Linked DNA regions of Xenopus tropicalis. The protein of the gene in region 1 interacts with the protein of each later gene in a pairwise test. Links are inferred from orthologs where the notes say so. Each region holds a gene or a part of one and is shown in the gene's direction. Other genes may lie near its edges. The genes, in order: hsd17b14, phf1, nek6 and tbc1d22b.

What was found.
Region 2: the proteins of hsd17b14 (region 1) and phf1 interact in binary tests that used the Homo sapiens proteins (3 or more experiments, as listed by UniProt). The two-hybrid records come from large-scale screens. The link is inferred for Xenopus tropicalis from reciprocal best matches to the Homo sapiens genes HSD17B14 and PHF1.
Region 3: the proteins of hsd17b14 (region 1) and nek6 interact in binary tests that used the Homo sapiens proteins (3 or more experiments, as listed by UniProt). The two-hybrid records come from large-scale screens. The link is inferred for Xenopus tropicalis from reciprocal best matches to the Homo sapiens genes HSD17B14 and NEK6.
Region 4: the proteins of hsd17b14 (region 1) and tbc1d22b interact in binary tests that used the Homo sapiens proteins (3 or more experiments, as listed by UniProt). The link is inferred for Xenopus tropicalis from reciprocal best matches to the Homo sapiens genes HSD17B14 and TBC1D22B.

What each region holds. Positions count from the first base shown.
Region 1 is NC_030683.2:114,400,363-114,406,270, reverse strand, and holds part of hsd17b14 (17-beta-hydroxysteroid dehydrogenase 14), read left to right. Parts: intron 1-53; coding exon 54-151; intron 152-1,826; coding exon 1,827-1,893; intron 1,894-2,779; coding exon 2,780-2,871; intron 2,872-4,812; coding exon 4,813-4,917; intron 4,918-5,046; coding exon 5,047-5,114; intron 5,115-5,908. UniProt on the Homo sapiens protein: Catalyzes the NAD(+)-dependent oxidation of L-fucose, yielding L-fucono-1,5-lactone, which rapidly converts spontaneously to L-fucone-1,4-lactone. Can also act on D-arabinose and L-galactose, with lower catalytic efficiency. Does not use NADPH.
Region 2 is NC_030684.2:71,980,166-71,986,073, reverse strand, and holds part of phf1 (PHD finger protein 1), read left to right. Parts: intron 1-564; coding exon 565-633; intron 634-1,628; coding exon 1,629-1,752; intron 1,753-2,495; coding exon 2,496-2,563; intron 2,564-2,770; coding exon 2,771-2,911; intron 2,912-3,034; coding exon 3,035-3,149; intron 3,150-5,908. UniProt on the Homo sapiens protein: Polycomb group (PcG) that specifically binds histone H3 trimethylated at 'Lys-36' (H3K36me3) and recruits the PRC2 complex. Involved in DNA damage response and is recruited at double-strand breaks (DSBs).
Region 3 is NC_030684.2:29,183,790-29,189,697, reverse strand, and holds part of nek6 (serine/threonine-protein kinase Nek6), read left to right. Parts: intron 1-2,297; coding exon 2,298-2,408; intron 2,409-3,489; coding exon 3,490-3,598; intron 3,599-5,908. UniProt on the Homo sapiens protein: Protein kinase which plays an important role in mitotic cell cycle progression. Required for chromosome segregation at metaphase-anaphase transition, robust mitotic spindle formation and cytokinesis.
Region 4 is NC_030678.2:65,165,324-65,171,894, reverse strand, and holds the start of tbc1d22b (TBC1 domain family member 22B), read left to right. Parts: upstream 1-2,438; 5' UTR 2,439-2,650; coding exon 2,651-2,703; intron 2,704-3,513; coding exon 3,514-3,570; intron 3,571-3,685; coding exon 3,686-3,990; intron 3,991-6,571. UniProt on the Homo sapiens protein: May act as a GTPase-activating protein for Rab family protein(s).

The sequences.
Region 1 (5,908 bases):
TGAGAGCTAAATGAACTACAAGAAAGTCTGCTTGGTATTTTTCCCTTTTGTAGATACAGAGGCCAAAGCTCTGGAGAATGAGATAAAGGCAGCGGGGCCAGGAGACTGTATATATGTTTGTTGTGATGTCACAAAAGAAGAAGATATTAAGGTATGAAAGCCTTTATTCGGGGTGTGAAACAGAATAGGAAAGGGCACAGCTGGATGGACAGGCGGATATCTATAGAGCACAACTTGCACAAAGGGACACTCTTGCCTATGTCAAGGTTGATTAAAAGGGGTTGTTTTCCTTTGAATTACATTTAAGTTTATGTAGAAAAAGATATTCTTTTAAATTCTTAATTGTGCAACTGTGTGAACTGTCCCTTTAAGATCCATGTGACCAGACTTCCCTCTTGTGGCAAAGCCTATGCAACGTCTGCCCAGAGTAGGTTGGTTTCAATATGGCCCTGAGGTCTCAGCTTCTCATTCAAAAATATAGAAGTAATCAGATTGGCTTTGTACTGACCGTAAGCTGAAGTGTCTGTGATCTCTACCCAAAACCTCTTTTTTTGTTGCATAATGACAAAATATGTCATTCTAAGCAACTTTCCAATATGCGGTCAGGAAACATTTCCCATGTTATGTCTGTTTTTGCAGTCGAAAGCAGCATTGGTTTATCCCTTTCTGTTCTCTGGTTCTGACTCATGAAACAGTGCGGCGGCAGCAGGAGCAAATGAGCCGGCCTGTATGTTTTCAGAGTGTCGGAAGAAACCAGAAAAGGGTTGCCACCTTTTCTGGAATCAAAATCCAAATTAAGGGGAGGGCAATAGTGTCAGAACCCCACACAAGCACAGGGAGAGTATACAAATTCCTTGCAGATAGTGTCCTGGCTGGGATTCATCCCAGGACTGGGCTGTTGCACCACCATGCTGCCTGTCTGAATTCGACAATGTCTAGAATGTCTGCATTTCAACTCTTGCTGTCTTCTTGGAAGAGTAGTGAAATGTGGGTTGGGAAAGGGATGGGGTTTACATGAGATTGAATGGGGTGTGGGTTGAATAGTGGGTACCAGTGGGCATGGATAGGAAAGGATCTAGGTGTTGGCTAATGTTTGAATCTGAGATGTATTTTATATTAAAGATGTCCATAACTAAACCCCACCCTCTTCAAACATTGACTCTGAGGCATCAAAACCTTTTATCAACTACAGTGGGTTTTTTGGCAGTGCGTGGTGCTACATTGATGGAACTGATGGGCTAATGGACAAGACCAGCCTATAAGAGCAGTGTCAGGCCCCATGTGCCAATAGTGGAAAGGGTTAATCATGTCTACGCTGCTGCACACGTGCCCAGCCCAGGGCAGCAGGAAGCAAGATGGCGGCAGGGTGCTCCCTAGAACTGTACCCTTGGCCCACTGTCAGCCCAGGGTCTAAACTCCTAAGTAATCAAATTGGCCCCCACTGTGATCAAACACTGTTTTTAAACTGGGCACACATAACATTGCCTTCTTCCAGCCAACAATGGGCCATCTGAAAACATCCCTGCAGCCTATATTCTGTATGGGGTTCATGTAAGGCTAATGCCCCACCGAGAGATTAGTCTCCGAAATGCTTTTCCACCTGCAACAAAGAGAATCGCATAGGCTTTGGAGAAACAAAGCAACACATAGACCTTTCCACTGGGGATTCTCTTTGTTGCTTGTGGAAAGCCACTTCAGAGAGATTAGCCGCCTGCGGTAGCAGAGATTATCAAGAGTGACTAATCTCTCCATGGGGCGTTAGCCAAAAGGGCTGAGTTGGCCAGCACAACTTATATTTCTCTGTTTACTTTTCTTATTTTAAACAGAAGCTGATTGAGATTACTGTGATGAACTATGGACAAATTGACTGTCTGATCAATAATGCAGGATGGCGTAAGTACTAATACTCTAAATCTGCTCACCCAGCCTTTCATTTGGGCACTTAAGGGATCCTGAACATGATATAAACTTGCCTTGACCTAATAACAAACAATTATGTTGCCTAATTTCCATGAGTCTAAATGGCTGCTATAGCTTTAATAGGAGGAGAGAAAGGTGGCACAATTGCACAAGGAGAGAGGGGAAGAGATGGGGGCACAGGGGGTTGATTGTGCAAAGAATAAAGGAGGGGAGAGTTGCATAAAGGGAGTGTAGTGCGTGAAAGAAGAGAATAGAAACACTGAAAGTAAATGTAGGAGGAGATAAAGGGGGGGAGTGAAAAGTCAGAGAAAAAGAATAAAGGGTTTGGGGATATAACACCCAATGTATGGGAGACGATGTGGGGAAAAAGAAGGGTTATAATGTACTGAGGGGGGGTACCATTTGCCTTGGGTGCTATAACACCTAGGCCTGGCACTGCTATTTATGTCTTTTTACAGGTTTTTAAAACCTTATACAGTTATTATCATTTTTATTACTGCAGGTATGGGTTTAACTTACCCAAAAGGGACTTTTATATAATTAAACCTTACTGATCTCTATAAACTTTACTGGAACCATAATCCAAGAACAAAGACATTCTTTACTTCCCTAAGTGTATTCAAACTGCACCTTGTAAAAAGCACTAGGAACATAAAACAGCACGGCAGTAAAGCTCGGGTTTAAGACTCCTCTTAAGACAAATCACCCAAATGAAAGCTCCTTTTATTTCTTTTGATGGACAGGGAAACGTTCTGCCACTCAGGTGCGGATTTTCCTGTGCCTCTTGGGTGATTAAAAGGGAAAAAAGAACCCGCGGAACAGTTGGTACTCTCTGTTACTCATGTCTGTTTCATTGTAGATCCACCAGAACAGACAATAGATGGCACCAGCGCTGATGATTTCCGTGACCTTCTTAATCTGAATCTGATTGGCTACTTTCTTACTGCAAAGGTAAGGGGTTGCACTCTTGGTTTCCCAATGGGCACAATAGCACACGTTTATCCTCACCTGTTTATCTGTTATTTAATGTCAAAAAGTTAATAGGCACGAGGGCCCATTTACTAACATAGGTGCCAAGCTGCACAACTCATTTCCCCACAACAACCAGTTAGTTTGCCACCAGTTAGAAAATGAAAGCAGAAATGTAATTGGTTTCCACTTGTGCAATTTAGCGCTTATCCCTGTTAATCAGCCCCATGGCCTGCTACAGCATATTGTGGTTCTTGTCGTGCACAAAGGGTTTTCTGTTAGACCAGGTTACACAACATTATGTATATAATATATCAATAGAATAGTTGGGGGGGATATGCACTTTTGCACCAAATGGAGTATTCCCCAGTATACTTTGAGAGCACAGCAACACAGCAGTCTGACAATGGAGGTTCAGAACCCCACATTTCTACTCAACATGGTCTCAAAGAACTTGTGTATGTTATAGTTTCTTACCATAATCTGCCCTGGAAACCAGTGTATGTCAGCCCCTGGGGTTGTCATCTATGGAAAAATGTAGCACCCAATGGCTTTTTAAAAACATTTTATAGAAAATATGGACAGCAACTGTAGCCAGGAAATATTGTGTAAGAGCAATGAGTTTAGGATATCTGTATAATAAGCATAGTGGGTAGTATTTTTTAAAAAGAGAAGAAAGAGACACTTTCCATGTACAACATTAAAACTTTTTATTTTATTACAGTTTAAATAGAGAAGAGCAACCTTGTACTTATACAGTATACTGTAAGAATGAACAATATCGGATATATTTGATCACATCATAAACTGCACTGCATTCCAATCAATATTTGCTGAATAGTGAACATGATAATATTGGGCTTTATTGTTCACATTTACTTTTTTATTGCAATGGCACACAGGGAGATTAGTTGCCCACGGTTAAATCTCTGCTACTGCGGGCAACTAATCCCCTAAAATGCCTTTCCGCCAGCAATAAAGAGAATCGCTGGTGGGAAGACGCTTTTTTTTCTGAAGTTTCCAGTGCAGGGTGGAGATGAAGCACCACATATGCACCCCACCGGCGATTTACTTTATTGCCCATGGGGAGATTTGTTGCCCATGGTAGCCAAGATTTAACCATGGGCGACTAATCTCCCTGTGTGACATTGCAACTACTGTCAACTACTGTCTTCTCCATTGCTTTTTTCCCACATCACCCTTTCTTTAACACAGGGACCCTCAACCTTTTTTACTCATAAGCCACACTCAGATGTAAAAGTGATGACGAGCCACACAAACATAAGGAATTTGCAGGGTGTTGCCAAATAAGGGCTGTGATTGGCATGACTTGGATTGAGATTGAGAAGTGCATCTCCTTGCTCCCTGTAAGCTATTGCTTTTTGAAGAGATGCTGATTATTTTTTTTTAGCCTTCTCCGCACTATAGGCCTTAGATGCACATCAGCTTTGGTCTGTTAATATACAACAGAGATCGGGCAAACTCCAGTCACATATTAGCTTGTTAAACCTAAGATATATTTACTTACTCCATATTTACCATATTTACTCACTCTTGAGTTTGCATTTCATTTCACAGAACAGACCTGCATATTTGCTTTTACGCCTCTTATACGTTACTATTTGCTGCTCAATATAGACTATAATTAGAGTCAGGGTATTTTAGCCCCTGATACCCTGGAGTTTATCCTGGCTGTACATATTAATGTTTGCCTAATTTTACAAGACCATAAAAAGCTTATGCTTGATTGGCTGCTACTGGGGTGGGGCAAACCCTTAATCACCTTACTATATAACCTACAAGGTGACTGCATAATAATAATAATAATAATATCCATTAATGTACTTTTATGCAAGTTTTCTTTCATGTGCAGGAAATCCTTTCATCTGTTCTTCCTTAAAAATGGCTCTTGATGTGTTTCAGTATGCTCTGCCGCACCTGAGGAAAACACAAGGGAACATCATCAATATATCCAGCCTGGTTGGTATCATTGGTCAGAAACACGCTATCCCTTACGTGGCCACAAAGGTATGTCTTCTCCTGCCATCTTGTAAGAGTGGGTTCTCCTTTATGGATGCTGGAAGCTGTAGCGTGACAATTAAATTGAACCAATACTGTTCCCTTGACTGATGCTTACCTGGATTTATATATGTACAGGGTGCAGTCACAGCAATGACAAAGGCAATGGCGGTGGATGAGAGTCGGCACAATGTGAGAATTAACAGGTAACCTCTGCACAATGAGCATGCATTGATACCTTTGTTGTTCATGGAATAACCAAGTAGTAGTGTCCCTGGGTGGGTGCACACTGAGGGATATTACTGCTCCAACACATGTGCCATAGGATTCAGAGCAAGGCTTTTTGTAAGGATATACCTGAGAGAATTGCATAGTTTGTGTGCCTGGTGTGTAAGTATCAGGCTCAGCCTGGTGGGGCTAGTATCCGGGCTAGTGGCCTGGTGGGGCTAGTATCCAGCTAGTGGCCTGGTGGGGCTAGTATCCGGGCTAGTGGCCTGGTGGGGCTAGTATCCAGCTAGTGGCCTGGTGGGTCTAGTATCCAGCTAGTGGCCTGGTGGGGCTAGTATCTGGGCTAGTGGCCTGGTGGGGCTAGTATCCAGCTAGTGGCCTGGTGGGGCTAGTATCCAGCTAGTGGCCTGGTGGGGCTAGTATCCAGCTAGTGGCCTGGTGGGGCTAGTATCCAGCTAGTGGCCTGGTGGGGCTAGTATCCAGCTAGTGGCCTGGTGGGGCTAGTATCCAGGCTAGTGGCCTGGTGGGGCTAGTATCCAGCTAGTGGCCTGGTGGGGCTAGTATCCGGGCTAGTGGCCTTGTGGGGCTAGTATCCAGCTAGTGGCCTGGTGGGGCTAGTATCCAGCTAGTGGCCTGGTGGGGCTAGTATCCGGGCTAGTGGCCTGGTGGGGCTAGTATCCAGGCTAGTGGCCTGGTGGGACTAGTATCCAGGCTAGTGGCCTGGTGGGGCTAGTATCCAGCTAGTGGCCTGGTGGGGCTAGTATCCAGCTAG
Region 2 (5,908 bases), on another chromosome or scaffold:
TGCAGCTTCCATGTTGAGTGGTTGTAGTTTCTAGTTGCAGTGGCGTTAAAGGGGAATTATCATCAAATTATTTAATACACATACCATCTATCTGAAATAAGAAATTTTTGGAAAATCTGGCCCCAAATCCTGCATTAAGAGAGAATAAAGAGAGACTGTTTGCTAAAAGAGGAGTAGTGAAGAGTAACTTGATTATTTCTGAAACAGTACAAAATGTTTAATTTAAATAGTTTCTAATTTCCATGAGAGGAAGTGTATATAAAACTTCAATCTGCATGATAGTTCCCCTACAGAGGCCCAGTGTTAAAAGAAACTTTATAGCTCTTCCAAAATCCTTTTAATTTGACAATATATTTAGGGATTCTGGGAGTAGTGGCACATAAAAATCTAGGGACACAATGTTTAGAAAGTCTAAAACCATGTTAATTTGGAACCATGTCTACTGTATTCTATGACTGCAAAACTTATTTCTGTGTTGTCCATCCATTTAGTTTAGTCACTTAACTTTCTGTTCAGCACTCGCAATATTACAGTTTCCTTTCCACTTTTTCCTTAAACATTTAGGTTTTATGTTTTTGAGTGTTCCGTCTGTACAAGAGGTCCAGAAAACGCTTGGAGACTTCCCCTTGCATGGTAAGTTATATATATCTATATCCTTAAACAGATTCTTGATATGCCTTTGTTTAGCTTAGGTTGGGGACAGTGTGTCTTGTCTTTTTCACATGCTCCTTATGTTTATTCGGCAGCATTTGGTACCCTATGTTGCAGATGAATAAATCTAAGCACCTTGATCAATTAAGGGGCTGTAGTAATTGCAAGCTGCAGTTTACTACATAGTAGAACTAAGACTATAGATTTTGGAGTGTGCCCTCATCTAAAGGTATGCATGGGTGATCTATAACATATAAACAAACAAACACCCCCGAGGGGGTATATTTGACGAGACCATTGCAACACTTTTTTTTCCACGATGTGCTGTTGCCAGCACTATTGCAAGTGCTACTCTGTATTTGGCATTCATATATACTGGACTCATTTTAGAACAGAAACTATTGAAGCTTCGCACACACGAATGATTGTAACACATTCATTCGTATAAACACATCATTCCTGGGATAAAAGTCTATACATTATTACTATTTCCGGGACATAACTTTTGTACAATTGTTGCTTGTCAGTTAATGGGCAGAATATCATTTAATTTGTTATTTTTTCAACTTTAATCCTACAATTTAAATCTGAATGTTAGTTTTAGATTGTTGCATTAAAACATACGATCGATATCCAAAAGTTCGTCTTACAACAAATAAAATCTGAATGTGTAGAGTAACAATAAAAAAGATGTGTACAGAGCAATAGGTTTTTGGCTGCCGGGGTAAGTGACCCCCATTTGAAGACCAATTGCAGAATTGCTAGAAGTAGGACATTCTTTATCATAGTAAAAGTTAATGCAAAGGTGAATAACCCTTTTAAGATCCATCAGTATCAAACAATTCAAGTTTAATTCTAACCCCACTCTTCATCATACTTGTATGAATTTTCCTTTGTCCATTTCTGCTTTTACACATATTTCTGTCCCCCGTGTCACACTGTTGATTGGTTAAATTGTTTATTTTCTTTATATACAGGGTTGATGTTTCACATCTTGTCTTGTATCATCTCAGTATTTGTTGTAAGAAGAAATATTTTGACTTTGAGCGTGAAATTCTTTCCTTTGTTAATGAAAATTGGGACAGTTTACTTTTAGGAGAGGTAAGTAGCAGTGCCAAAATTATGATGCAGCAGTTATGGTTTTAACAGAGTCCCAAGCAAAGCATCACTGTTACTGGTTATGTCAATGCACTGTTTTAAAGCATCAGCCATCTCTCCCCCACATGGCCCAAATTAGAAATGGTCTCTCCGCAATCGTAAGAGCATTTCATGTAGCTCCCACTACTCTGGTTTTTAAGTCACATATCTCACCCACCCTCTTCTTACCACTCCCTAATGGCAGTGCATTTCACCTCCTTCAATTTGCGTTCCACCAGTCCAGTAATTTCTATATACTGATCTCTCCCTTTGGTTTTTTAGTTTGCATGGATTTGATGCCATTGTAAATACTATTGTATTTACTTTCTACTTGGTTTGGAAAGTATTGTGGTTAATTGATTCATAGCAGCATTGGGTTATTTTTGCACTGTACTAAACAATTTATATTGGCATTAAATTATCTAGCAGGAAGTTGGCAATACAACATGCTACTTTCCCTTGTGTGTAACAACTGAAATGAATAGCATTTGACTTTCACTGTGCACAAGGTGAAGAAAACAGCATGTGTGGCATAGCCCAAAGGGGAACTTCAGCTTCCCAAGTTTGTGTTTTCATTAAAGTGCTTTGACCACTCATTATCAGAAGAAATAATATATATTTATGCAGACTAGGACTCTGGGATAATTTTGTTATATAGTGCTAGGTTTCTATGATGATCCTTATTTCTTTTTTTATGTTTGACTCAGCTGACAGACACTCCTCGTTCTGAACGATATTCTCACCTTCTTCACGCCCTTACAGCCCAGAAGGATAGGTAAGAAGCCTATCTTTTGACTGAAGTGGGTCCTTTAATGTAGTTTTATTACTTCATTTGCCTGTTAACAACACTGGTAATACATTTTTTGAATGTAGACTTCGGTAATGTATAAATAACTACCATGTTATGTATAGACATACTAAATTTAATAATATAGGAATGAATATGTGATTTTTGTAGTTTTCAGACTTTGTTTTCCTTCAGGTTTATTTCTGGAAAGGAAATAAAAAAAAAGAAGTGTCTGTTTGGCCTACAGACCCGTGTCCCACCTCCTGCCCCACAAAGCACAGAATCTCAGCTAAGGCAGCAAGAATCTAAGGATAGAACTTCCACTCCATGTGTAAGGTGAGGAACCTTAATTTTGCACACACAAAGTATTAATGCATTTCAAAGCCCACTTTATATATCATACTGCATTGCTTGTCTTCCTTCCCCTCCCCAGCGAGCGGATATAAAGATCTCTTGCAGTTCCCTTGTAGGGAGGATGGGGATCACGAGACGCCCCACACACAGGAAGAGGACCCAGAGCATAGAGAAGCAGACAGGAAGGGAGAGGCAGAAGCTGTGCAAAGCTCTTACCCAGGTAATAGGATTTTTTTTATATAACAATATAATCATATTTAGATATTGAACCTGTAGATTTTGGCCTAATAGAGGCCAATGTTATCCTGCAAATACAATAGATTTGAAGAACTGTTTTGGGATGCTAGCAATGTATTTTTTATGTATTACTATTATTATGTATCCATTTATTCCTGCTTTACAGTGCTGTGTATAGTAGTACTATATAAATACAATATACATACATACATACATACAATAACACTTAAAGATCTATGACCCGTACAAAAGGACTGGTTCTTTTATTTATCATGGAAGTTTTTTGACTTCTAACATTGTTATATTTTATACTGTTGTTCCCTATATATTTTAACTTTTCTCTCACAGCTACTTGGGGGACACAGGAATTGTGGGGTATAGCTTCTACCACTAGGTGGCAGTACACTAGTAAAAAAAAGTCCTCTCCCTCAACAGCTATACTCCTCAACACAGGAGGTATGGACAATCACAATGATTTTTTTCTGCAATTCTGGACTGGCCAGGACTCCAAGGGATGTTCCTGCATAACTACCTAGGTAGGATGTCTCCAGGCTTCCCCTCTGCTGAATCTCCCTTCCAGGGCCATAAGTCACAATACTGGCCACTTAGTGTTGCCTGCACTTATCCACAGTAGCAGATAGCAGCTGGAAGAAGGGTAAGCATGCCTCTACACGGAACACTCGCCTCCACTGGTGCCTTGTTTCCTAGACACTTGCTGTCCATGCCACATACTTTGTTTTGTGAGATGTTCACAACTAGAAGCTTCCATACCAATCGTGGTGCAGGCACCAGTGACTGCAACCAGGTGTCCTGCCGCCCCACTCCTTGCTGCTCCTTTCCTCATTGTGCACAAGTTCAAATTTCCCTTGGCATTGTTTTCCCCTCCTTGGCTTATGCACAGGGAGATATGCCCACCCCCTTCTCCTACCTGTCTGCAGGAGGCAGGACACAACTACAACTGTCTCTCCACTACTTCTACTGGGCTTGATGGCTGAGGGGGGTTGGTGAGGGCTTTATACCCTGTGTAAATTTTGGCCTGCGCCATGTGCTTCAAAATATTGTCTGCAAGGCATAGGGGCCCTCTCATTGCTTTGTGCAACCCCGCTGAGGGCCCATTCTGCGGGGGCAACCAGTCAGAGCAACATAAACCTCTTCTCAGCTGGCACTTGTGGAGGGCAGCTGAGGTTGTTTCAGGGACTATTGCTTGCTCATTCTCAGGATTCATGGGTTTCTTCCTAAAACACCTCCCGGAGTTTGCAAACCTCACACTTCACCATTTCTTGGTGTCTCAGTTACCCAAAGAACCCATTTGCACAAGGTTTCAAGGTAATACAAGATATGCTGAAGTCTTCCATCATCACTCCAGTTCGGATATGTTCATGGTCCCTAAATAAGACAGTTCTCTTCATCCTGTCTTAGACCCCAAACACTTGAATAAATTCATTAGGCCTGCAAATTCAAGATTGAGTCTCTCCGCTCAGTCATTGTGGCCATGGGCCAAAATGAGTTCCTGGTGCAACTGGATATCAAGCAAAGCTATCTTCATGTCCCCATTTTCCACCCCCATCATTGATTCATGCTCTTTGTCTTCCAAAATCGACACTTCTAGTTAACATTTTCTGCCCTTCGAGGGGCCTTGGTCCTCCAGGTCCTCACCAAACTGATGAGAGAGCTCCAGGTTTTGTTTTTGTTGTACTTTTCCAGGAACATCTGGCCCTCTAGCCAGATGTCACAACCTTCATTAAAGGTGCTGCTCATGTGGCTTCACCCTTCAAGTTTTTGTGCCCCCCCCTTGGGACTTTAACCTGGTGCTGAGGGCTCTCTAGGACTCTCCATTTGAATGTCTTGCTTCTGTTTTCCTGCCTTGACTCACATGGATAATAGTAGCAATTTCCTCAACAAGACGAGTATCCAAACTCAGTCGACCTTTTTGCTGGTCTCAGTTTCTTATTTTCCATCTTGACAAGACATTTCCCCATACAGTTCCTTCCTTAATAAATCCCACATAAATCAAGAGATAAAGTCATTCTAGTCACTAACTTGTTACTTCAGGCTAGGGCTACACTTTTTCAAAAAATCCACCAACCTCATGAACTGCCTGCGTTTTGCTAAGACTTACACAAAAGCGCATGCGCAGTAGAGTAAAAAGCCGACTTCTCTGTTAAAGTTCGGCTTTTCACTCTACTGTGCATGCGCACACAGCGCTACAGGAAGGAGGAAGCGCTGGCAGCTACCCCGGGCTGGTGCTGTTCTCTCTGAACAGGGGCACCAGCCCGGGGTAAAAGGTAGGCTATTGAAGTCACTTGGGGGTGCCTAACATTTTGGCACCCCCAAGTGACTTTGCCTTTCCTTCTCCTTTAAGGGCACTATTGAGACAACTGAAGGTATGCCTGCAGCTTGAGATTAAATCTCAAGGAAAAATTCTTTGGTACCCATGCATACACTAAACTAAATGTAACACCCAGCGGAGGGGAAGAAGATTTGTGGTGCAATGCTTCAAATGAAGTACACTGGGCTGGTGCATTTTTGATACGAAGGAACACCAGCATTTAGAATCACTGAGAGGTGCCTAATGACTTGGACTTAATTTTACCTTTGACGTAAACCCAAAAATTAAGCATCAGATATACATTAGTTATTTTCCAGCAGTTTAAACGTTATTTGTAAAAGTAATTGCAGTTCTCTCTGACTATTGAAACAATGTATCAGAAGCCAACTGATAACAACTGTAAAGAACATAAC
Region 3 (5,908 bases), on another chromosome or scaffold:
CAAAGGCAGTTTTCTTTTTTTTCCTGATGTACAAAGTTGCCTTTAATCATGGTTTTTTTTTTTTTTGCTTTCCCAGAGAAGTCCCTGCAAACACCGTAGAAAAGGCAGTGCTTAAAAGAGTTTGTTACAGTAGCTGTTTATAAATATAATAGCATTTACTTAGCCTTAGACTTAGCATTTATTTACCTTATTTTGTGAAAGAATGTTGTACAGGTATGGGATCCCTTATCCGGAAACCCATTACCCAGAAAGTTCTGAATTACAGAAAGCCCATCTCCCATAGACTCCATTTAAAGCAAATAATTCTATTTTTTAAAAATGATTTCCTTTTTCTCTGTAATAATAAAACAGTACCTGTACTCGATCCCAACTAAGATATAATTACCCCTTATTGGGGGCAGAACAGCCCTATTGGGTTTATTTAATGGTTAAATGATTCCCTTTTCTCTGTAATAATAAAACAGTACCTTGTACTCGATCCCAACTAAGATATAATTACCCCTTATTGGGGGCAGAACAGCCCTATTGGGTTTATTTAATGGTTAAATGATTCCCTTTTCTCTGTAATAATAAAACAGTACCTGTACTTGATCCCAACTAAGATATAATTACCCCTTATTGGGGCAGAACAGCCCTATTGGGTTTATTTAATGGTTAAATGATTCCCTTTTCTCTATAATAATAAAACAGTACCTGTACTTGATCCCAACTAAGATATAATTACCCCTTATTGGGGGCAGAACAGCCCTATTGGGTTTATTTAATGGTTAAATGATTCCCTTTTCTCTGTAATAATAAAACAGTACCTGTACTTGATCCCAGCTAAGATATAATTAATCCTTATTGGAAGCAAAACAATCCTATTGGGTTTATTCAATATTTAAATGATTTTTAGCATACTTAAGTTATGGAGATCCAAATTATGGAAAGATCCCTTATCTGGAAAACCCCAGGTCCCAAGCATTCTGGATAACGGGTCCCATACCTATAAATGTTATTTTTCCCTTTATTCAATAGTTTTTATGTGTACTTGGCAAAAGCAGCACTTTCTTTTTCTTTTTGTTCCACAAAGACACGATTTGAGAAACTATTGAGAAAAAATCAGAATAGTGTAGCAGGGTTGGTGGGTGCCATCTTTCTCCACTTGATATGCTCTTCCAGATGATTGCTGACCATAGCCAAGTCCAGATAGGACTGTACCCATGGCCATAACTGGTCAGTACTAGGGGCCTGCCATGGTGTGGTTATATATAAATACCTAATGGTTTTCTCCTCTGTGTTAACCAAAAAACAAGTATATCTGATACAAAGGTTCCTAGCTGGGGGTTTCCAATTTCTGGGGAATGCTTAATTCAGTTGATGTTGTTTAAGGGTGTGATGAGACCCCCCTAGTCACAATTGCAAATGCTTTTGTGGTTATTTATTAAGGCAGTGATCCCCAACCAGTGGCTCAGGGGCAACATGTTGCTCACCAACCCCTTGGATGTTGCTCTCAGAACCCCCAAACCTGGTAGTTATTTTTGAATCCCTGACTTGGGGGCAAGTTTTCGTTGAATAAAAACAAGATTTACTACCAAATAAAGCCCCTTGTAAGCTGATAGTGTGCATAGAGGCTACCTAATAGCCAATCACAGCCCTTATTTGGCACCTCCATGAACTTTCATGACGCTTCTGTTGCTCTCCAAGTCTTTTTACATCTGAGTGTTGGGGACCCCTGTTTTAAGGAAACCCTGAAGGTTTGTTATTTTAGTTATATTTTATATATCTGTGGCATTGGTATGAGCTAAGTGGTGGCTATTTATTATGCTGATTTATCAACATTCAAAATTGTTTTGAAATTTCAATTTCTTTGTGCTTAAACTCCTGAATTCGAATTACAGTTTCCAAAACTTAAATTCAAAATGTAAGCGATTTCTTTTCAATTCAGGTTTTTAAAATTTGTCTAGGAGGTGGTAGACCAATTGATAATGATGAGCAGCATATGAATTCAGCACATTCAAGTTTTATTTAAGTTTTAATCGATCAAGTTTTTTTTTAGATTTAAGTTTTTTACTAAAAATATTAGCGCACATGTAAGTTTAGTAAGTTTTCTTCTTTCTTTCTTAAAAAAATTGAAATGTGATAAATATAGGTGCCAATGTGTTTTACTGAAACGAATGGGACATTGTGGGAAAATATGGGCCGTTTCTCTACGAACACTGGCAGACAGTAGTTTCTATTTGCCATAGCCCTTGAAGTCTATTAACAGAATAATGTGTTGTTTATTAATTTTTTTTTTTATAATCTTTTGTTGACAGCAACTGAACCATCCAAATGTGATCAAGTATTTGGATTCCTTTATTGAAGACAATGAGTTGAACATTGTTCTGGAGCTTGCAGATGCCGGAGACCTCTCCCAGATGATTAAAGTAAGAAGTGTCACCACATTACAGACAAAGTTACCTAAAAACACAGCTACTTAAGAAGCAAAGTGCAAATATTCCTTGTGTATCTATGGAGGTGGGAGATCATATGCTAACTTATTTTGGAAAGTGCTGTGGATAAAATAACTGTAGTTGGGAAACAACTGTCTTTGGCTGTGCAGAAATTGGTCATAGCTTCAGATGGTTCCTTTTGGCTAAGCTAATAGATAATAGGCATGAACAATTGAAAAGCTAAACTTTGATAAATTCAGAAATATTAGAAAAAATAAAAAAGCTTCGCCAAACAAATGGATCTTTGCCCCATTTAGCTACCCGTGTGCTAGGCCAAATTGGGCTTATCTTATTGGCCATCAAGCCAGTGATCAGATCATATTTTTAACCTCCTTACTTTTTTGCATAAATAACAAAAATCATAATTGTTTCTATCATTACATTATAGAACATACTGCAAGCAGTTAACGATAGTTTTGCTCAACTATTTTATTAAAATAAAAATAATGAACAGGAGGATCTGCTTGAGGCTAAAGCTCCATTTGTTCCAGTTTGTGGGTCTGAGGGCTAAATATGTTGTGCAAGGTAATTAAGACTAGATGCTCATTAGAATCCACATGTCAGACCTAGTTTTGTTACTCACATCTGAAGGAGAAACTCACTCCAAAATAGTGTGCAAAATACCCAGCCTGCATTTGAGCAGCAAAGAGTTTGTAGTCTATTAAATGGGGGTGTCCGTATTTTTGACGAGGTTGTCAAATGTGCAAATCTTTCACCAATATTTCCCCCTTGAGTTGAGAGACAGGCGTTTGAATCACATTGATGGGATGCAGGGGGTCAGGATGAGAACCACATGAACACGTTGATGCACTTCTCACCCTGATGGGATTTTTAAACCTGTCCGATCAACATCTGGCCTATTTTCTGCCAGATATACATGCATGTGTTGGCCACCTTTAATCGCATGCTTTGTCTGTAATCTTGCTGTTAACCTTAACTTGTGCCTGTCTGGATCCTTTCATTATTCTTGCTTTCTGTTTCTCAACCCAAATATCATTTTGTGTCTCTGTTCCAGTACTTTAAAAAGCAGAAGAGGTTAATTCCAGAGAGGACAGTGTGGAAATACTTTGTGCAGTTATGCAGCGCTGTGGAACACATGCATTCCCGTAGAATCATGCACAGAGGTAAGCCAAGCTCATGTAAACATTTACCTAAAGTTAAAGGAGCATTAACCAGGCCCAGACTGAGATCCAAAATAGGTCCCGGCACCGTACACAGACAGCCAGACAGCTGTCAAATAGTGACTGTCTAAGGCAGGGATCCCCAACCTTTTATACACGTGAGCCACAATTAAATGTAAAAAGTGTTGGGGAGCAACACAAGCGTGAATAAAGTTCCTGGGGGTGCCAATAAGAGCTACAATTGGCTATTTAATAGCCCCTATGTGGACTGGCAGCCTACAGAAGGCTCTATATGGAATTATACTGGGTTTTTATGGAACCAAAATTTGCCTCCTTACCAGAAATTCAAAAATAAGCACTTGCTTTGAGGCCACTGGGAACAACATCCAAGGGGTTGATGAGCCACATGTTGCTCACAAGCCACTGGTTGACTAAGGCATCTTTTAGCAGCCTCTCTGGCATTTGCAAGAACCTACAGATTGCCAGTCTAGGCCTGGCATTGACCCGAAAGTAGGAAGACCCAGGGACGATTCTAGCCCCTAAGCCACCCTGAGGCAGCTCTTTCAAATCTGTCCCCCCCCACGCCACAGTGCTTACCTTACTGGCTACAAAGTGGGTCTGGGGTGGGGCAGCATTGCTAGTACAGACAGTGCAATTGCGCTCTCTGCACTAGAAGAGCTGGTTCAATAACTGGAAATTACGGGAAAGTACAGCTTTTTCCCTTTTTTAAACCTCAGGGGCGCTGCCACCTGAGGCAAGGTTCTCACCTTGTGTCATGGCAGGAACGCCCCTGGCATGACATTTTCAACATTTCCTTTGGGAACTAAGATTCAGAATAGGCCCTGGCACTACAAGTACACAGAGGCCCAAACAACCCCCACCAATCCAACAAATAGTGACTGTCTAAGGCATCTTTCAGCAGCCTCTCTTGCATTTGCCAGGACCCGCAGATTCAGGGCTGCTTTAAGGTACCGGTTTTCTCAGGGCAAAATTTCATTGGTGGGCCCCCACTGCACCAATAAATTTGTAATAGAATAACCCCTTAAACTTGTAAAGTTCAATATAATAAGGCAGGAAGTAAAAAAATGCTCTGCGCTTACTGAAGTAGACATGGTCCCATGGTGTGCCACTAGGGACCAACAACCATGGGGGCAGACAAATGACAGAATGGTGATGCCTCAAAAGAGACAATGAAATTAAATAACCATACTACAGAGCTTTTTCAGTTGAATAAAATGAGGTGTCTGCCATCTCTGTAGGATGCTTCTGGCAAGAGTTATCCTAGAAGGTCCATTTATTAAAACGGCCCTGCACAGATTGCTAGTCTGTGACTGGCATTAACCCTAAAGTATGACAATGTAACATTTATCTGGTTATTTATGGCAACTTAGATGCCTTAATGTTAGTATCTTTATATATCGGATACTATATTTCAGTTGCAAGAATAATGAATGATAGCGTGATGGGGGGAAATCACAGCGATTGTTTCTGTTTGTGCATTCTCCGTAGAAGCCAAAGTCTTCAGGACATTACTTGTCTCACCTCAGTGGGTTAACAAACTCCTGTTTTCCGTATATTTTCTTTCCCCTGCAGCTTTTTTCCTTGCTGCTCATCCTGTTACCTCTGAACATTTTTTTTTTCTTGTTTTATCCGGCCTTTGATGCCTCTGATGATTGCGCCTGATGAAACTGTCAGAGGATGATGTGTTTTGATTCTTTTCTAAAGTCTTTGCACATCACAGAAATGAAGGGTGAAATACAAAGACATCGATCAGAGTTGGGATGCATGTAGCGTTTGGGGCGCTGGGACATGGAACTTCCTGGGAATATGCTCTGTTTTGGTTAAACTACAAGCTCTTCATATAAGTCCAGCGCTGTGTGAGAGGGAAAGATTAGGACATCTGAATGTCAATGGACCTCAGATATGCAATGTTCAGATTTGCAGACCTCCATCTATTTTGAATCAGTTTTGCCATCCTGCAGATTTCCTGAAAAGTAATATCCATTTGCAGATATTTACTGTTATGTTTGCTTCTCACTGGGATATCTACCGTGATAACCTGATTTACCTGCTTACTCACTAAGCTGTGGAAATACAGAGCTTCAGGCACAAAATATTCTCTTATGTAGGATTTGTTTGCCATGTTATTGCCCTTGCAGACATGCATTATGTGGGAACATTTATACACATAACCAGAGATGCATGGAATACAACATTTTTAGATTTGACTAATTGTTAAATTCTCCACAAAACATTTGACTTAATGTGAACCCTAATTTGCATATTCATTAAATGTAGGGCTGGAGCTAGGGG
Region 4 (6,571 bases), on another chromosome or scaffold:
TAAGGAGAAAGTAGGTTTTATTGAGTATATATCGCTTTCTGTAAAGTATCTCATGTTCTGGCTCTGTCTCCCCCATTGATTGCTAGTTGTGTGTCAGTTCTGCTTCTAAACCTTCCCTATAAGTCTCTAAATATAAACATTTATTAACCATCATAAATATCTATAAAATGAGGCTGGCCAGCTATGTTAACACTCTCATATAACCCACAGAGTGGGTTTTTGGCATTTTAAAGTTAGCTTGGATGATCACATAAGTGACTTTGCATCTACATGTTTTAAAATAGATTTATATCAAGTGCTGACATTTAAAGGACATTTACCCCCTATTAAGTGTTATTTAGGAAAAAAAACTCTACTTGCTAAAAAAAAAGTTGCTGAGTGTTATAAAAAAAACCAATAAATTGGCTAATTTGAGGGCCCTCTGTCTGAAATGTGTAGCTATGTTTTTTTATGGGTACCTAGGTGGGATTGTTGGCCACAAATGTTCTAAACGCAATGTAATTTAATATTATTTATTTTACTTTTAAGAATGTAAAATTCCCACCTGGAATTCACTTCCTTTTGGTATTTACAGTTCAAATAAAAAGGGAAGACACAATACATATATATTTATAAATACTGATTTGGGGGAGCCTAAGGAAATTGTATGGCTAAGGTGCAGACTATGCAATGTGATTAATTCTGCTCTCAGTGAATTGTATTTGCAAATATGTATGTATTACCCCTGGTTATTTACTATGAGGCCACCCAAGTTTGGTGTATTAGATAATTAGGCTAATGACACACCATGTGTATGGTGTATATTTTTGGCAAGCATTGCCGGTGCAGGCACAGGTAGGAGCGTATGGCGCAAAATTTCGGCAAGCGTTTTTTAGCTTGCCAAAAATATACACCATACGCATGGTGTGGCATTAGCCTTAATGTTGGTGATATTGTTATTCTAGCCAAGCCTTACTAAAATATATAGCTCTGTATTTAGGATTAGTTTTTCCACAACTGTGTTTAAAACCCATGATGAAATGTTTTACACTGACACTATTTTATTTATTTCCTTCCCATAAAATATCTGTATTATTTTACCTGCTGCCTAAAATACCATTGGCAAGGGCTAAACCTTTCTAAGTACTTAATATGGGGATTGAACCAGAGGCCCCAAGCTTAACAAGACTGGGGCATAAGGATAGAACTTTTCTTACCAAAATAGGGGAGGACCAGCAATGTTTTAGGGGGCCCTGGGCCGGCTAGCAATGTTTTAGGGCAGGGGTGTCAAACTCAATCACATAAGGGGGCCAAAATCTAAAACAAAGGCTAAGTCTCGGGCCAAATTTTTTATTAATATACTTAGTAAGATAGATAGGAGTATATTTATCACAATGTGTAAAAAGTGGAGTAAGACATTACCGGTGATGTTGCTCCTAGCAGCCAATAGAAGCTTTGCTACTGTTGAAATCTGATTACTGATTGGATGCCTTGGGCAACATTACTGGAAATGCTTCACTACACTTTTTACACAGCATGATAAATATACCCCTTAGTTTTAGTTACTATGTGAGGAAAATGGAAATTGATCAGGCTGGATGGTCAGACACACTCACCAAGGGCCACATAAAACAGCCAGGTGGGCCGGATTTGGCCCCCGGGCCTTGTGTTTGACATATATGTTTTAGGGGGTCCCTGGCTACCAATGTTATAGGGGGCCCTGGCTACCAGTGTCTGTGTGTCCTTTCTACTGATGGGACTGCATACAGCTCTGGTGATTTTCTGAGTTTTGAATTGTTTTGAAATGGGTATTAGAGATGCTGAGGGTCAATATGTAGCATGGGATGCTTGTACTTCACTGAGTCTGTCATGATATACAGGTGGCACAGTGCGTAATTAAATCCTTAGGGCCACAATATGTCATAAAATGATTGGGGTCACAGTGTCTGTCTTCTGATGCACTTTGTGTATGTTATACTTTTCAGGTGTGGTTTTGTAAAATAGGCCTGTTTTGGAGTGTGGCCATAAAGTAAGCATGGGCTGAAAAATATGAAAAACATATTCTTGTCCCTCCTTCTACTTTTCAAATGTTGGGAGGTATGAAATATTGTATAAACACAAACAAATAGGAAAAGCTATTTTTTCCAGAAAATGTGGCAACTGTAACGATGCACCATATATGATTTCTCCAATTTAAAATAAAAAAAACTCAAAAAATCTGATCAACTTTGCACCAAGTTAACAGGTCTAAAATGATCTGCCATACAAAGTCCTCTCACCTCCTCTTTTTCTTACATAAACTACAAAACACAATTCTACTACATTAATACATACCGCCTGAATTAAAGTTACATAATAACCAAATCTAGAGAAAAAAAAAAACACTCTTCCGCTGCAACGGCAAAAAAAATGAATTCTACAACCTAGCGCAGAGAGTACTAAGATGGCGAAACCAAACACTTCCGGTTGATTTCCTATGAGCGCTCCATGCTAAAAACGTCACCTGAGCACCGTAGCCTCGTAGCATCGCTAACGTTCATTGGCTTCAATTGGATGATACTGTAAAATCCGCCAATTAGGAATCTCTACCCGCCCGGTTCCGTTATGGTGGAAGCGGATCCCCGGAGCGGGTGAGCACACCCTACAAAACGAAATACAGTGGACTTGCAGGATGTCAGAGAATAACCGACAGTTCTGGAAAAGGAGTACAAAGCTTCCGGGAAGGTAACAACTTAAGGCGATCATGAAAGGGAGTGTGCTTGAGGAGTTTCATAGAAAAACTTGGACAGCTTTGACTTGTAGGAAGAACGAAGAGACCAGAACATTTGAGTAGTGTGTGTTTGTGTATATGAGTTGATTTATTGAAAGTAGGAGTGGATTCGGAAAGATCAAGGAATGGGAAATTACAGTCTCCTTGTGAAAATGGCATTATGTTTAATTAAAAGATATACGTGCTAAGATGCGGGCTTGTCCAATTATTATTGGGGTTAATATGTACATGTGAGGGTTTGAGTTTATTTAATTTGACAGTAGTGACTAAGTATGCCTTTTAATGAGGCCCAGTTTACTGACAATGGATTGTTGCCGGAAACTTGAGGGAAGAACAAGGATTTCTTGATCAATGCTGGCACCTTAGGGACTGTGCACAATTCCGTTTGGTCTCATACTATTTGTCACAATGCATAATACCTTTTAGTGCATATATACAGTAAAGAGTCAAAATCGCCTTTGCAAACGTTGTATGTTTATATTGTTTAATTACACAATAATATACAACAACAATAGACATTTTTTATGTTTTGTGGGATAATGAAATCTTGACAGCCATTTATTCTATATTAAGATCATCATGTGTAATGTAATTTGCAGGAATTCAAGTAAAAATTGAGATCTTTGTTATGAAAAGGACAGAAAGCTATAAGTTGTAAGGAGCTGATATATAGGGATTTCTGGGGGTCTTTGTTTACTCATTGTTTTTATTCCGGTTTTATATGCAATGATCTTATTTTGTCAATACCTTTATCCTTTTCTCAGTATTCAACCAGTGTATGGGGCCCAGCACCCACCTTTAGACCCTCGTCTCAATAAAAGGTATACAATGTTTTGGCTAAATTTCTGTTCATATTTTTATAATGGATATTAATACCTTATCTATGCCAACAATTTAAACTTTTGTTTGTTACCCTTATTTACAATTTTTTGGCAGTTATATTTCTGATCGTTCAAGGCGACAACCACTTCATTTGAAAAGCAGAAAAGCATCTAGTTTTCATGAGTTTGCAAGAAATACTAGTGATGCCTGGGATATTGAGGATGATGATGATGCTGATGATGATGATGGAGGAGGAGATGTCCTGTATGCTTCACCCTATCAGACTCTTAACTCCAGGGTTGCTGAAGTGACAGCTGCACAAGTTATAGAGAGCCACCTCAAGCTACGGGAGGAGTCCCCTTGCCAACCTTCTGTTACAAAATCTGTCAGTGAAGATCATCTCCACAGGGTCACTGCAGGTGCGCTACTATAGTGTCAGGAGTATATTTTTTGGTTGCAAAGCATTTTTTACAGGTTCAATTTATTACATAGTGCTAAATTTTACCTTAACTCCAATACTTTTTATGATAATATAAAAACATATTGCTGAAGTTGAGATGGAGAGCCCTTACTAAGGGCTCTGGCACACAGGGAGATTAGTCGCTCGCGACAAATCTACCCGTTTGCGGGCGACTAATCTCCCCGCGTTGCCATTCCACGCGAGGCATTTTCGATGATTTGCCGAAATTGCGCTGCAGCGTCTGCCATCCCACCGACGACTTACATTGTCGCCGATGGGATAGCATGGGATGGCAGACGCGGCGGCACGATTTCGGCAAATCATCGAAAATGCCTCGCGAGGCAACTTCGGCGATTTGCCGAAATCGCCTGCGCAGCTTGTGCCATCCCACCGGCGACTTACATTGTCGTCGGTGGGATGGCAATTCGAGGAGATTAGTCACCCGCGAACAGGGAGATTTGTCGTGGGCGACTAATCTCCCCGTGTGCCAGAGCCCTTAACAGTTATTACATATAAGATGCATCAAGGAAGATTCATCTAAATGATTACCTAATCGGTCAGTGTCAAAGCAAACATTTTGTTTCTTTTGTATGTATATAAGCTGTATGTGTAAGGGTGAACTTTAATTTCCAGCAGATAATAAAATAAAATACCAGTGCTCAAAGTTCAAGGGAAAGAGAGAAAAAAGAAATATATACAGTTCAGTAATTATAATTGATATTTATACACCACCCAATAAGTACGCACATTAATTCAGGGGTCCTCAAACTTTTTAAACGGGGCCAGTTCAAGTTCCCTCAGACTGTTGGGGGGCCGGACTATAGTTTGGAAAAAAAATATCAACGAATTCCCATGCACACTGCACATATCTTATTTGTAGAGCAAAAAAGCAGGGAGAAACACTGATACGGCATACAGTGATGTCTGTGTTCTGCTGTGCCCCAGTGCAGGGGTAGAGCAGAACACAACATGGGTAACGGGTAACTATCCTATTTTCATTAAAAATACAAAATCTGTTGCAAATATCCTGTTAATGACTTTATACAGTCAGGGTAGGCAGTTCTTATTGCTTAGATCAGTATCACTTCATCTGCCACTCACAATACTAAAAATACATAATGGATAACTATGTGAAGTCATTTGAAACATCTCAGGGTAATTTTCATTTTGTTTTTCCCAACACTGCAACTTCATGAAAATTAATATTTCAGTACAGATTTACAGCAGATATAATGACATATTCTTAACTGCCAAAGTTATTGTTCTGCCATGAATTTCTCTCTGCAAGGCTGATGGCACACGGGATTACTGTAGCTGCTTGGTATATTAGCCAACGATTGCTTCAGTGAACAAGTCACAGCGTTGGCGTGTAACGCGGTGACTCGCTGGGGAAGAACACCAACACAGGTACTAATTAGGGAGGAAGTAGTGAAGACGGGGGGCCAGGTGAATGGACGGGGGGCCAGGTGAATGGCCGCGGAGGGCTGCATCCGGCCCGGGGGCTGTAGTTTGAGGACTGCTGCATTAATGGATGTGAATATGCTTTTTATGCCAATCTTACAAAATTTCCCAAAATATTCAGAGAGTTCAAGTTCAGTACCTACATGTAACTTGTAAAATATGTGTTAAAATGCATAGTTATAAAAACTGTAAAATAACCATTGAAGAAGCTCATAGTAATGACGTAGTGTTGACTTAGTAATAAAACCGTAACATCAGTTAAGTTGAAAAAAGACACACTTTCATCAACCTTAATGCCTATATATAACCTTCCTAACTGTTAGTTGATGCAGAGGAAGGCAAAAAACCCATATGAAGCCTCTCTAATTTGCCACAAAGGGGAAAAAAATTCTTTTGTGACTCCGCAATGGCAATAGTACCAGTTCCTGGATCAACTTGTAGTAAGAGCTATCGCCCATAACCCTGTATTTCCTCACTTGCTAAAAAGTCATCCAACCCTTTCTTAAAGTGGACCTGTCACCCAGACATAAAAAGATGTATAATAAAAGCCCTTTTCAAATTAAACATAAAACCCAAAGTCATTTTTTATTAACATATCTATACCCATTATATAAGCATTTAAAAGTCCCAGCTGTCATATATCATATATTTCCTAACCTGCCTCTATGCCTTAGGCATAGGGGTTGGGCGGACAATTACTTTCACTTTCAATTCAGAATTTCTTAGATGTCACTGCACTCCTCACATTCCCTCTCCCTCCTCACCATCTAATTGTGTAACCAGTGCATGGACATGGGTATCAGGTCCCCCCATACTGGCACAGAAAAAAGAATTTATCAGGATGCACAGCTTGCCTTAATAACAGTGTCCACAAAATGGAGCCTGCCTGTTTTCTGCAAATGAGAATTCCAGTGCTGAAGGAAATACGTTTAAAATAATTTATACAGTGTAATTGAAGTTTATTTTGCTTGAAAACACAATAGAAAACAATTTGTAATTATTTATTTGGATGACAGGTCCCCTTTAAAGCTATCTAATGTATCAGCCAGTATGACTGATTCAGAGAGGGAATTCTACAA